Caenorhabditis elegans: one gene and its partner. The protein of the gene in region 2 interacts with the protein of the main gene of each other region in a pairwise test. Each region holds a gene or a part of one and is shown on either strand. Other genes may lie near its edges.

What was found. The genes of interacting proteins can lie anywhere in the genome.
Region 1: the proteins of T07C4.3 (region 2) and lec-3 interact in a two-hybrid assay, tested with the Caenorhabditis elegans proteins (2 studies listed by BioGRID).

What each region holds. Positions count from the first base shown.
Region 1 is NC_003280.10:9,988,222-9,995,301, reverse strand, and holds the start of lec-3 (Galectin), read right to left. Parts: upstream 4,143-7,080; coding exon 4,063-4,142; intron 3,940-4,062; exon of another isoform or gene 3,934-3,939; coding exon 3,873-3,933; intron 3,046-3,872; exon of another isoform or gene 2,965-3,045; intron 2,848-2,964; exon of another isoform or gene 2,727-2,847; intron 1,683-2,726; exon of another isoform or gene 1,369-1,682; coding exon of another isoform or gene 1,336-1,368; intron 1,160-1,335; exon of another isoform or gene 1,027-1,159; coding exon 938-1,026; intron 884-937; coding exon 796-883; intron 317-795; coding exon of another isoform or gene 280-316; exon of another isoform or gene 47-279; intron 1-46. UniProt on the Caenorhabditis elegans protein: Binds galactose.
Region 2 is NC_003281.10:10,349,071-10,356,673, forward strand, and holds T07C4.3 (ANK_REP_REGION domain-containing protein), read left to right. Parts: upstream 1-3,084; 5' UTR 3,085-3,151; coding exon 3,152-3,168; intron 3,169-3,363; coding exon 3,364-3,475; intron 3,476-3,531; coding exon 3,532-3,689; intron 3,690-3,732; coding exon 3,733-3,881; intron 3,882-3,931; coding exon 3,932-4,134; intron 4,135-4,178; coding exon 4,179-4,468; intron 4,469-4,515; coding exon 4,516-5,005; intron 5,006-5,057; coding exon 5,058-5,195; intron 5,196-5,236; coding exon 5,237-5,575; intron 5,576-5,623; coding exon 5,624-5,683; 3' UTR 5,684-6,047; downstream 6,048-7,603. Other genes in the region: T-box transcription factor tbx-8, read left to right, coding at 109-531; spp-1 (Saposin B-type domain-containing protein), read right to left, coding at 6,072-6,266, 6,316-6,447; umps-1 (Orotidine 5'-phosphate decarboxylase), read right to left, coding at 6,898-6,949, 7,002-7,603.

The DNA.
Region 1 (7,080 bases), on a different chromosome or scaffold from region 2:
TTTTCCCAGGTAGTATTCGTTTTATTGCGGATATCACGAGTTTTTTGGTCTATCAATTTTATTATGAGTATAATAAGATTCTACCATTTTCTTAACCTCTTAATTTTGTGTCGACCGAAGCCACTCCAGATAATCGATTTTTAAAATTTTATAACCAAATTGATCTATACATTTAAAAAAACAAGTTCGGTGGAAATGATGCATGCACAAAAAATACACATATATTCTAGGGTGTATCAGAAAGGGGGAGTTGTGAACATTCAAAACCTACACTTGATCTCAGCGTTTTTTCTCGCTGCCACTTTTCGAATATGATCTGGAAACGGAGTGAGTGTGTGTGTGTGTGTGTGGGATCACCTGACACAGATTCACTGTCTATTTGAGTGAGTGAAGGGCAAGGCAATGAGCACGGATCAATCATTTTCTCGGCTCACCACCATCATCCCTCACACATGCCGAAAGGGTAAACATCATCAAAAAGAAATCAAGAAAAAGAAGCTTGAAGGAAGTAAGAAGAAACGGGAAAATGTGAAGCCAAAAGCAAGCCAATTTCCTGATGTCTGAAAGCTAGAGCTTCTGGGTCCCATTGGGCTCCCTCTATTCATGTCACCCCGGTTAAACCCATTATGTGGATGGAGAAGATGGAAAGAAGCGCCAATTTTTTATAGCTCATACGCTTGATCGAGCCTTATGTATATCTCGGGCGGAAACTTTGTTTTTTCTGTGTGTTTATGTATGTGTTTTAATGGTTTTAGTTCCTATAATAGTCAGAAGCTCGAACATCAAATGACCTACCTTTCCCTCGTCGAAACGGATGGAAAGATGAAGAGGCACGTCGTTGCCGGAGAAATCTGGAGAATCCTTGTGGAGATTAATGTTGAACCTGCAAGTTTCTTCGGGTTAGAATTCGAATGAATATTGTCAAAATCTCGATTACCTCTTGGACTCATCGATAGTCTTTCCACGAATGATCAGAGTTTGTCCGGGCTCGATGCGCTCGGTGAGCTTGGAACGGTATGGGATGTTCTGAAATAATACGAAATATTAACTTGAGTTGTTGGAATTTGTTTTTGAGCTATTCCCGAAATTCTCGGTTTCACAAAAAACATCGGGAGCCACTCAAAAACTTGATGGTTAGATTGGACATCACTGGTTGAAATTTAAACTGAAAAACTGAAAAAAAGAGAAACTGAAACTGACTGAACTGACACAAAACTGGACAAACTAGAACTAAAGTTCACTGCAAGAAAAAGCACTGCACAGAATTTCAGATTTTCACGGTCCTACAAGAAGACGATGAAAATCTGCACCCAGAACCCCCAATAAAAGTCCTACGATATATTTGGCACAGTGCCAAACCGACGGCATATCATCTCCAATCGTTTCGTAGCAAGTTCCCAGTGGGTAGCACGATGAGGTGCTCGTCGAGCAAGAGCTGGATGTCGAGCAACTCGGCAGACACGGCGGCTGCTCTTTTTGGTTCTTTTTCTGATATTGCTGAAGCCACGTTTTGGGACTCAGTTGACCATGGTCACCAAGTCCCAAATTAAGATTCTTGATCGACAACAGTTTGGCGGATTAGACGAAGGGAGCTTCGGGTAGAAGATAGAACAAGTGGGGGTGACAAAGTGAAGCAGCAACTAGGCTTCAAGAGTAGATGCTGGGGCGGGCGGTGGCTCAACGAAGGGAAGGGAGCCACCAAAATGTGGGCGTGGCCTATTTCTCAAGGGGAAGAGGCTACTATTGTTTTGACACTTGGCCACTTGCCAGCTGGATTGAAGTTGGAAAACGAAAGAAAAATACACATAAAGTGTGATGTGACTTTTTGTTGAAAAAAACGTTTTTTGGAAAGTTGAGTTGAGAGTAAAGTTCTCATGTCAACTTTCATGAATCTTGGCAGAATACAGCTATACGTCACTATTTGTGGCGCAAAGTTCAAAAGTTTAAATCAGCTACCAACTAGGTTCAAAATGTTCATGGCGTTAGAGCAAGATAGAAGAAAGTTATGTAAGTTGTTCATAAATTATATTATCCAGTTGTGTAACAATCCGATTTTTTGAGGCAAAATAACGGTAAATGGTCTCGACGCGATCGAAAAATTTTCACTTGCGCATTTAAAGAGTTCGTTCCGCAATTTTTATCGACTTTGCTCTTAAAATTTGGCAGTTAAGGAGAAAATAGCATTAAGAACAGGAAGCCGAAACTATTAAACTTTTAATGACGCATATTCCATTGCTCAGAAAATTTTCAGTCGTGTCGAGGCGTAATTTTTGACCAAAAATGAAATTGTTTCGCAACTTGGTAATAGGCAGTTGCTAACAATCATGGGGTTCGTTTGTGATTATTAATAATAGTTCAAAAACTGTTTCCAGATTTCCAAATGCCCGCTGCAAAAACCTAGTTCATGCTCATGGGCTAATAAATATAAAATTATTCAATTCCAACAAATTCTCACTTTTTCTTGTTGCCAATAGAGCGCAGATTCTGCCACCCACAATGAAAAACTGACACTAATCTTGAAATAGGAGAAAATAAACAAAAAGAAGAGGGGGAAATCCTCCTTGTCTTTTCTTTTCCTGCTCAATTTTTCTCTGCCTGATATTGGATTACACCCGGAATTTCCGTTTCGCATCTGATTTTGACTTTGTTGCAACAAGTTGCACACACACACACCGGATTAAAGCCTAAAGTTTCCCGGAGCACAGAGCATAAAACAATTTGTCTACGTCAAATAAATTTTTGGAGAAAAAGAAAAATGAGCATGAATCAAAGGGTAAACTAACAAAAGGGGGAGTGAGAAATCTAAGCGAGTAAGAGAGCAAAAGGACATAAAATGTTTATGGAAATAAGGGGAGGCGGATGTGTATGTCTATCTGTGTCAGTTTTGGCTTCAGTTAAAAAAAGAAAAGTTGAAGCAAAAATATTTGAATTAATTTGAATTTCCACCGACTCAATTGTACTTTTTCTGCAAAAGAGGGGGAAGATTGTGCTAACGGTTCGTGCACATAAAGGCTTTTAGATTTATGACGTGGTTCCTATGAGCCCCGGGTCACATAACCTAACAAGAGGAGGATAAGCTCCTATGGGAGCTCGGCTCGAACTAAAAATAGCAACTTGAACTGGGAAGTGGATATTTTGAGAAAAAAAAGTTTAAAATGAAGTGAAGATTTGTTTGAAAGTGGAGAATATTAGAATGTATGGAGGGTGTAAACATCGCATAGCATGTTTTTTTTTCCAATTACAGTTCATATTCTATTTGCAGCTTTTTGTTCTACTTTGACAGCGAAATAAGTATTCCAGCACAAAACAAACTTTGAAGCTCATATATCTCCCTAAAAATATCACTGAAATTTTTATAATTTCACAATCAGACAAAAAAAAACATGTTTTCAATTTACAATGTGTTCTTTGTAACTTCTTTACAATTCATAAGCTAGCTGAAATTTCTTCTTATTACTCCCATTCTTTCTATTTACATAATTTCCAGAAATGCTTCAAGCGTACATTTTCAGACCAAGCTTTCTCCACTTATGAAAATTCAATCTTTGATGTCCTTTTTACCACCACCCCCACACTAAATTACAATTGTCTCTTGTTCGAGCACATAAAAAGCTCCATCGTGCTTCTTCAAGATTCAAACCTCAATTTTATGGTTCACCAAGTCGGCTATTTGTGTTAATAAGGGGGTGGCATTTCCGAGAAGACTGTAATGGGGTAGAACAGAACAACACGCAATGTTTTTTGTGTTAGAATTTCCAAATTAGGAGGAAACTGTCATTTTTGAAACTCAAAAATGAAACAAAAAACAGAATCACATGCACACAAAAAAAACAAAAACCGGAAAGATTGCATGATCGAAAAAAAAAACTTACGAAGGATTTCGGCTCGGCCATGATGATCTCTCGAAGATAAACGGGGAGTCGAACGGTGGTCCTGAAAAAATTGGGAATTGAAATATTTTATGATATTTTTCATAGCTGTTAAGGAAAGTGAGAAGTTGTACAGAAGTTGGAAAATTACATAATTATTTGCTCTAAAAAATTTTCGTTTGTACCAACATACCCATGACCTCTCTTTTTCTTTACAGTACCATTAGTAGTAGGTTCTGTAACTGCTAGACTTTTCGATCTTCGTCGAAACATTTTTATAGGAGAGAATAGTTCAAATTTGGCGATGTTCTCCCCTATGTGAGATGTACAATATTTGTGTTGGTTTTGAAGAAGAGGTTATGGCTACGCTGGTATCAAAACTATATTTGAACATCATAAACGTTTTCGAAAGAGTTTCGAGAACTAAAAGGAAGATTAAACAATCCGAGGTTTTGTGTGAAGAAAAATAGTATATATTTGATTGAATTGTTACAGAGAATGGAAGGAAGAAAGAATGTGATAGATTGTAGAAAAAGAATAGGCGGGAAATAAAAGTGTGAGTCATGGAATTATGGGAATGAATTCCCGTGGATCGTTTTGGATGCAGGGAAAATTATAAATGATTTGATTTGGTTGGTTGCGAGAAATGTTATAAAATTATACCAGTTGTTGGAATCTGAATTTTTCATGCAAAAAATGATTTTGGAAGTTGTCAATTTGTCAGAAAGCGGCTGAACCGTAGCTCGAACTATTTTCGATTAGTTTTAAGGTTTTAAAACAGGGATAAAGTGTTATCAAGACTATTACTTCTGAGAATCTGTATGACTTGGAGTTTTACGAGAAATCCTTATTGGGAAAATTTGACAAAGTGGGCATAAAGATTGAGCTTCTAAATTAATCAAGTGAAACAAACTACAAAAAAAAACAAAAATATATAAAATTGAACAACCAAAACTCACATAATTCCAACTAAATTCAAGTTAACACCGACAAGAGTCGAAATATCAGAAACAACACAAGAAATAAAAATCAATCAAAACTGATAAATTGTGAGGTTAACAGGTGGCGAGGGGTTTTTCCCACTGCTGCTGATCTTTTTTATTTACTTCCCGCACGTTTCATTTTTTTGAACTCAGAGACAAAAATTATTGGGTGTGGAAAATGAGATACGCAGGAGGGATAAGGAGAGAGTTGGACAAATAATTATATGTCATTAGATTTTGAAATTAATTTGGATTTCGAAAGTGATTTGGAAAACCTACGTTTTTTTTAGGCAGAGTTAGTATGCTCACGCTAGTAGAAGTGCTTGCTGGAACCATGGTTTACAGTTTAAAAGAAGTGAAAAAATTTCAAAAAGTTTTTACTTTAAACAAAAACGCAATCATCCAGATTGCCGCAAAAAATACAATGTACAGCTTTTTTTACACAAACAATTTTTTCAGAAAAATCCAGATGCAAATTTGCAAGAGAACTGTAAAAACTGCACATTTCAGTCACTATTTATACCAACTGTATACATATAGTTGGTGAGAAGAAAAGAGAAAGACAAAAAATATATATACAACATAATGTATCTTCTCACTTTTTTTGCAATTTCTTTCCTAGCTACTACTCCACCTCTTCCTCCTACTCTTCTATCCTTGCTCTCCGATCACTCATTTGCCTCTTTTTCATGCTTTTCTTTTCCATCACTCAAAAATTTCAAAAAAAAAAACGTTAACGAAGAACATATGACTCAATTGAGGTCTTGGATAGTGAGTGAGAAAAGATATCCGATATGTTGCAGTTGTCGTTTTTTTTTTTCTTTTAGGTTTTAATTTCTAAAGGAAAAAACTCTTACGTTTTTCACATTTTTCGATGTTTCTGAATTTTAAAAACTAGAGTGTGATAGTAGAATTTCAGCGGGAAGGTTGAAAATGAACAATAGAAAAGAAAAATAATTGAATGTGATTAACAGAAAAAGAAAGAAAAATACATAAAAACCAAGTATAAGCATTTTGAGACAATGACTCACTACAACTTATTTATTATTTTCTATTCCAATATTTTGAAATTTAGTAGATTTTTTTTTCCGAATTTTAAAATAAACAACAATCAGGGATCGACTTTTGCTATTTGGCCTCGAAAAAAACTCGGTCATCGATTTATATTTGATATTTTATTCTTAAACTTGAAGATCTTTCAAAATTTTAAAAATTTTGGCCGAGCCGATTCAAGGAAGGAGTCTATCTAATTGGCATTTTGCCAAATTTGAAAAAAAAAACGGTGAAAATTTCCAACGGTTTCAATTCAGTAAAATCTAGAAATTTGGAACTGAATCTAAAAAATTCAAAATCCTGTTTCTGGAAATTGAGGTGACGTTGAGAAGTTAAAATTACTAAAAAATTCGCACAGTCGTAAAATGACAAAGAAAACGGAACACACTCAACATGTTCAGTGTCATCGGTTTCTTGAAAAAAGCCTAGCAGTATAAGTGTCACTTTTGCCAACTATTTCCAACATTTCAAAAAGCAGAAGAAGCAGAAAAGCTCATAAAATTCCGACGAAAACTCGCTTCAGAACGACAAAATAGGCCCCCCATGTTTCACATAAATATTTTCAGGGCGTTTCGTGCCTGAAAACCGGTTTTTTCGATTTTTCGGGGCCGGTGGCATTGGTGGTCGCCGACGTAACTATTTTATCAGTTTTTGTGTAAAGGGGTACTTAGATTGTAGGTACTTATATTGGTTGATTTTCTTGATTGAAAGTGGCATTTTCTATTTTACTTTCAAACTGCAAGAGACCACACAAAAAAATAGGGAAATCGCAGAGAATGAGCTAGAATTCCATACGGCAATCCATGTAAAATTGAGGCAATGCAAATTTTCATATACGTTTCGACGCGTTGGCACTCAATTGAAATGATGAAAAAGTGGAGAGATGAGAGAGAATCCGGAAGAGAGAAATGAAAACATCAACAATAATAAATAATGATGAGGGTGGAGGATTACGCAGATTTGTAAGCGCAAATCATGAAAAATAAAAGTTGAAAATTTACGTTATCTTGTCATGCGGTGCAAAGAGAGTTGAAAAAAGTGAAAATTAGAATTTTAGATATCAAATACCGAACTAAATTACTAGAGACTCTAGAGCTTAAGATTTCAAGCAAAAAATCACCAAATATTCTTTGAAAAAATAAAGCTTTCAAGCGTTTCAAGCTTCAAGTCTTGAA
Region 2 (7,603 bases):
ATTTAATCTACAATTTTTTATTTTCTTGAAAACAGCGAGGCATCTCAGAAAGTTGTCTTTTTTCCATGGCTCAATCAAAATGTAACTCTTAAATTCAAAAACTTCCAGAACGACGCAGTAATCAAGCTGAAAATCAAGTTCAACCCATTTGCCAAAGGATTCCGAGAGGGAAGCCAATCAGACAGAAAACGAAATTCTCCATCCGCCGACGACTCTACAACAGATGAAAGCTCATCTCAAGTCTCTTCTCCTCAGCCAAAAAAGTCACGAACCGTGTCAGTATCACCTCCATTGATGCCACGGATCCTTCCAACAATGATTCCACCACCACCAGCCATCAATCCCCTTTTCTACAGTCTCCCCTACTTTTCCCATTTGGCAGCCACCGGGAACTTCCCGCCTGTACCATTCCAATTCCCATTTGGACTTCCATGCTTCTCCCCAATGTCATTTCCAACACCTCCGCCATCTTTGAAAAATGTCAAGAAAGAAGAGCAAGAGGATATTGAGCAGGAAATCAATGTAGTTTAATTGCAAAATTTAATTATTAATTTTAAATTGTTATACTTTAGTTCGGGTCACATGATCACTTTTTCTGTTAATTTTTTCTGCATAGAAGATTTTTTGTTTCTGAATTTGGACATAATCAAATAAATTTTATACGGTGTAATTATCTTCCAGACAAGTAGGCAGGCAGGCAAAAATGCTCTTCTGCGGGCATTCACAAAAAATAGGTCTTCTATTGCCCATGCCAATTTTTTGAAAAAATAACTTTAACTTTAAAAACCAGTTTTTTTGCGGCCTTTAAAATTGAGCAATTTTTCCTTTAAAAAATTTCCAAAAAACACCATGGCCGAATTTGTATTTTTCGCGGCCACGAGACTTCAATTTTTCATGGCAATGTTTTAAGAAACTTTTATGGTTTTTACAGTTTAAATTTTTTCCACCATAGAGCATAACTTGCCACGTGGCCGAAAAAAAACGGTGGCGGAGTTTCTTCAATTGGTTCTTTCTGCCACCAAGACTAAATGCGGGGCCGAGGTTTCACACGTTCTAGGCCACGCAATTTCTTTTTTGAACTGTTTTTCTTCTTTCCGTTCCTTCAATTTTCTCCGTTATGGCCTAGACTTTCTTGTGAAAAACTATAGTTCTTTCAATTTTGAAATTGCGAAAAATCGGCAAAGTCGACCTGCTCAATATGATGACGTGGAAGATTCTGCATGAGAATTACACAGTGTGTCATCACCCCTCTTACACTTTTGTTCTCTCCCATCACAGCCTCCCATACACACAATTTCACTACAGTTTTGCTCCTCGCGCGGCTTGATTATCATTATGTTTATATGGTCAAAGCCGAGTTTGAAGTACGCCCGGGCGGCGAATTTGCATAACCCCACAGAGAGACAAAGTACTGTGTCGGTCATGTTCGATCAGTGGTTAACAGTACATGTATATATGAGATTTGTTTTAAAAGAGCAGCTTCTTCTCTACCACCACCACTTGAGTCTACGTTTGCCCCACAGAGGGTGAACAAACGGCGCTAGGAGCCCGAGTTATTTCGAGATGTGTCACTCTTTTACAAGTTCGTCGCCACGTTTGACACTTTTTAATTTTTTTTGTGTTTTGTGCATTGGTAATTAATTTGTATATTTTTAAAAGTTATTTGAAAAAGTTGGGTCTCGCCGCGAAAATTTCGAAAATTGTTTTTCAGTCCAATTAGTTGCTATAATAATTTTTTGGTTTTTTTCTGTAATTCCTCAGCTTTCTGCTTTTTTAAACACTCAAGTTTTATTTTATTACCGTAACTCCCTTTAAAAAAATTGCCCAGGCATGAAATTTTGTGAAAAATACGGTATCCGATCTCGACACGACAATTTTTTGTTAAATAAAAACGGGTGTGCACCTTTAAAGTGTACTGTACTTTTACACTTTTGTTGCTTTTATATTTTCGCCGATTTTTCATAGTTTTTATTACAAGTTATTACAATTTATTGATTTTTAATTTTTTTAAAATTCTAGTTTTAAATAAATAAAGATTTTCAACGAAAAATTATGAAAAATCGATGAAAATTCCGCAGCAACGAAAGTTCGAAATTACAGTACTCTTTAAAGGCGCACATCGGTTCGTAATTCACAAAATTGGCGTGTCGAGACCGGGTACCGTATTTTTTCCCATTGAGCAAGTATTTTTATATATTATAGTTTTACAGGATATTTTAAGTTTCGGTTTTAGTTTTTCTACAACAGCTTTTCCATCATTTCCCAACTTTGTTCCAGGTGACACTCGAATTCTGCCAATTTTCACACGCAATCCCAGCGCAAAACGATTTAAACAGTAGAGTATTTAGTAAAGTAACGATGTTCATGCTTGTTCAACGAGAAACACACATAGTTTTGTTTGCTTAACGGATCAGGAACTTTTCCAATCATTTGTCTCCACTTCTACCTCGGTTAACAATGGGTTTAGAGAGTTCAAGCGTGCTGCTGAGATTTCCGGAAAATAGACAATTTTCACTTTTCAATCGGATTTCTTTTTAAAATAAAAATATAGCTTTTTCGGATGGAAAACTAAATAGTTCTGATAAAATTTAATTTAATTTTTTAATAAAAATTAAATTTTCACTCAACTACGGTAGATCCTTTTCTGTGCGTCTTCGGTGTTTGCGTGTTTGCGTACCCATTTAGGCCGCCTATCTTTATTATTTGAATTTTGGTGGATTTTTATCATAATTCTCCAATTTTTTGAACTTTTCGCAACATTTCCCGCGTTTTAATCCATAAAATTGTTGTAACAGCTGTTGAGAATAACTTGCAACCGAAAAACGCGCGTGTTTTCCGCATTTTTCGCACACTGTTCCACATTTCGGATTATCTTCACCACAAAATCTCGCCTTCTTGGGAGATCGCTCGCCGCCTATGTGTAAACGTCTCCTGTTTCCCAATTGAAAAACCTCAAAGATTATGCTTTCAGTATATTTGAAATCAGATACCTCTAAACTCCCCAATTTTGTGCTCCCGTTGCTTGCTTCTAACTTCCTTTGTTTATTTTATTCATTTTTTTCAACTTTTTTAGTTTCGAATTCCAGGTTTGTGCACTCACTACGAAATCTCTTCGAAATAAAAGCGAGTAGGAAAGTAATCACTAGCGAAAATGACGGATTCTCAAAGGTAAGAGAAGAGAAATCTGCTCGAGCACGGTTTTTTGTTGCATCTGTCGACGTTATTGGCTTCGATTGTGTGAGTCACTAATGACAGATGTCTGTGTCCAAAAAATAACTTTTTTGAACGAGCTGGTACCTCCGCCGGCTGTCTTTCGCATCTGTCCCCGGTCACTATGTATTCTTCATTTATTTCGGTTTTCAGCACTCAAATGGGTCGTGGAAGACACGCTAAGCGAAACAAGAGCACCGCTTCCGTCGGCAGCAAGAAAAATCGCACACAGTCGACTGCATCTGGAAAATTCCAGCCAAGCGTTGTAAGTGATTAATGATTATCAATTTCGATTTCAAATAATAATTTTCTATTTTTCAGGATGGTTTCACCACGTTTATCGTGGCAGTTTCCAGACTAGGAAAGCAAGGACAAGAGTTCACATGGCATGATCTGAGAAAGGTTTACCATAAGGAGACCCAACGTCAACTCACCGCCGAAGAGCTCAATGCGATCTTCTCATCGAAGAACTTGACCAAGTAGACTGAATTTCGTTTTTTTTAAATCTAATTTCACTTTTAGACGAGAAATCTTCGAGCTTCCAAAGGTCAAAAGGTTCATGACATCGATGGATGGGAGTATGATGTGCAGGTTTCGCCTGATCGCCGATCCACAGGAAGTTTACGATGACGATCTCCCTCCATTGATGTCCACATCGGTCGAAACCGACGGTAGGCACCCCTAGTTTCAGAAAAATAATTTTAGTAGCTAATTTTTCTAGTTATCACTGAAGACACGTCATCCGATCACTCACAAGCTGTATCACCATCAAGTGGGAATCCGATTGCGATCTCAACAGACTGCGATGACAAAGCAGCTGGTCCAACTTCGGATTTAAGCAAGTCCGACAACTCTCCATCGCAAAGGTCTCTGGCACAACAGTCTTCAATGACTGATGACGAAGGATGGGTGTCTGGGAAGGATGTAGGTGGAAGTATACCCAATTTTTAGTATATTCAAATTTTCAGGTTCGCTCGGAAAATTCATCGCCGGTTGAGGATAAGGATGAGGTTGACGGTTCTAAGATGGAGATGGAAGACGATGTCTTTGAAGAAGATCAGAGAATCGCTGCTGAAAGCGATCAGGTCGACAGTGCAATGGTTGCTGATGTGATTATTGTGGAGGAGGCAAAAGTTGAGAAGCTTTTCAAGGCTCAAGAGATTGTGGCTCCGATAGTGCTCACGGAATCAATTGATGCCGCCTTTGAAGCAGTTATTCAATCAGTTTCACATGCGGATGCAACTCTTTCCATGACACAGTAAGTTTCCCTTATCGTCCGCCACCATCAACACTTTTACTTTTCAGAAACGCTTCCGAAGAGGCGAAAGTGCACGCGACGCCGCCGTTGCCCGCCGAAAGAAAAACTATGGTGTCCGCAGAACTCGCCAACGGGAAACCCATCAAGCATCTCATCGAGAAGTTCGATGCCGGCGTCAACTTTGCAGAGCACAAGCCAAAATCCATTTATGCGCAGGTTCTCGAAGAAATTGGAGGCTCCGCGCCTAGAGTGGATGAAGTGTTTTCGGCGTCAAAGAAGGAGGAACACGCGGAGACTGAAGTGACAAATGTCATCTTCAGAAGCACTTCTACTCACAGTAGCATCATTGCGAACGGGAAGGAGCAGCTGGCCGAATTCGTCGCCGAGCAAGAAGCCAGACAAAAAGTCACTACTCCTAATCCAGTTAAAGAGGAAACTGAGAACGCGTTCTGTGCCAAAGAACAATCTTCAATGTCTTCATTGGATCGAGAGTACTTTGCATCCAAGACTAAATTGAATGAGGATCTATTTGCAGAGGTACTAATATTTTAATAATCAAGTTTTTGTTTTTTAATACTGAAATTTTTAGCTCGGAGTCAAAGATACCGATGGTTTCCAGCTCAAAACAGTCGACAGTAATGGCAGTGGACCAGGATCCTCGGAGATCATCACAGTCATTGAGACTCCATTGAAGGATGATCACCGAAAACGAGCAGATTCCGTGGAGGTTTGCTGATGCGATTTTCTGAATTAAATTATTAAAATTAGTTTCAGAGTGACGCAGATGTTCCATACTCATTGTGCAGTGAAGATGAAGCGGAACCGATGACAATGATCGACAAGTCGATGAAAGTATCACAAAGTGCCGAGCAGTTGTCCCCTGTAAAAGAAGAGCAGAAGGCTAAGACTGTAGTAGTCAACGTCGAGCTGGACGGCAATCGTGCGGATCCCACAATCAAAGATCGCATTGCAGCACTGCAGGCGATAGTGTCAAAGCAACATGTGCCAATCGCAAAAGTGGACAGCGTCGACGATGATGTCAGGATTCTCAGCAGAACCGAGGAGCTTCAACATATGGCACTGGAGGCGAAACCTTCCCCTCAAGCGGTAATTATAAATATTGCTCAAGAAAGTATATTTATTTTAAATTTTCAGCTCGGAGCACTCCGCCGCCGCCACGTTCGATTCATGCGAGGATGCTGCGTTGTCCAGTAGACTTCACCTCCACATCTCACAATCACTCCTCACATCCACGTGTCATAGTGCTTAATTGGTGCTATTAAATCGCCGCTGTAAATTATCAGTCCTCACCACACTCTATATTTTATCCAGATAACTTTCTTTTGTATGTGTGTGTGTGTTTCGAGACAATTATATTCTAATTTCTAATTTTATACCCCCTCCCTTCTACCGTGTGTGGTTTTCTAGTTTACGTGTTCTCAGGGTAGCTGAGAACTTTTCCCCCATTCAACAACTAGAACCAACACGAGTTCTAATTTTTATAACTCTAAAATTCCACGCGCACAAACCAATTTCGCCGTTGTTTCTGTTTTTGTTAAATGAAAGAATATTTTGATGATTTTGAAGGAAACATTTATTATTCTTAGCACAAATCAACATCCTTGCACGCCTTGTCTGGAGAATCCTTGTTCTCAATATCCTTTTTCAGCTCCTTCTTGACCTTCTTCAGCTCTTCCTCACACTCGTGATGCAACGGCAACAGCATAGTCCAGCAAAGAGTTCCGATGTTCACATCAAGCCATGCATCGAGATCATCATCTCCAACCTTCTCTCCACCCTGAAATATGTGAATAACGAGGAAAATTGGAGATATTTGGAGCACAAACCTCGACGAGAGCCTTGCAGACATCACAGAAAACACCGTGATGCTTCTTGAGATTGAGTGGGTTAGCTGGATTGGCTAGAAGTGGAGCAGCGGCGAGCAAGACAAGGAAAAGACACGGAAGAATGCGAGTCATTCTGTAGATTTTAAGATGAAAAACTGGAGAAATGAAGCGAAAATGCACCCGGAGCAGTGATGCTCGTGTCTTTTATCAACTTCGCGGCGGCACTGATAAGGAATCGAATCGTTTCTGATGTTTTCAGCATGGAGGAAAAGATCAAAGGACATTATAGAATACACACCGGGTCGTTCACACATCAGATGCCGATTTTTCGAACTGATAAGATCGCTTAGAGGAGTAGCTTTTCGCCTTGACGGAGAAAATATTGATTAATCAGGTTAGCAGTAAAGTAAATGGTGTGGGCATGTGATTTCTTGATAATTTGAGGAAGATGGAGGCAATCAATTTACTTATTTCAACAATTCTGGGGAAGCTTGAACAAAATCAACAAAGTTAAATAAATACGTAATTAGATAAATATTCACATTTCTTCTTTACAAATAGGCTCTCCGGATTTTTCAACTTTCAAATGCTATCGTCGCTTCTCGTGAGCGCATCCCAGGCGATTTGTCGATATCTGAAAGAGAAAATTGACATTTAAAAATTTAATTAAAAAAAAAAAAACAAACCTCTTGAGCTGCTGAACGGGCTCACTGGACGACGTGACGCCTCTTCCGACGATGATGATGTCGTTCTGCTGTACTTCGATCGCCTCGTCGACACCTCTCCACTGCTGACCGGCCGAGTCGGATTTCGCGTCGAGATTCACACCGGGCGTCCAATTGAGAAGATCCGAGCAAGCAGACACTCTCGTCTGAGTGATGAATCCAGAAATCACGTCACGATTCTCGTTGGCAATCTTGACGGCGGTCTCGGTGTATCCTTCCAGCGCAGTCAAAGATCCTTTGGTGCTGAGCTGCGCGATGAGGAGAACTCCACTGAGCCTGTAAGTCGGATCTTTGGCGAGCTTCCTGAAGACTCCTGCAATGCTGTCACTTCCTTGTACGGCATGAACAGTCACAACATCCGCCCAGTTGGCGATTTTCTGGGCTCCAGTGAGCTGAAGAAGGTTCGTGTTTCCAGTGTCGCCAAACTTCCGATCCTCGAAAATGATAAAGTCCATATCATTTGCCATCGTCGTCAGCTTCCTCGTGAATTCCTCGTTGAAATCGGTGATAGCGTCGGCGTGAAGCTTGATCGCCAGCACAAATGGACCAGCGAGCTCGATCAT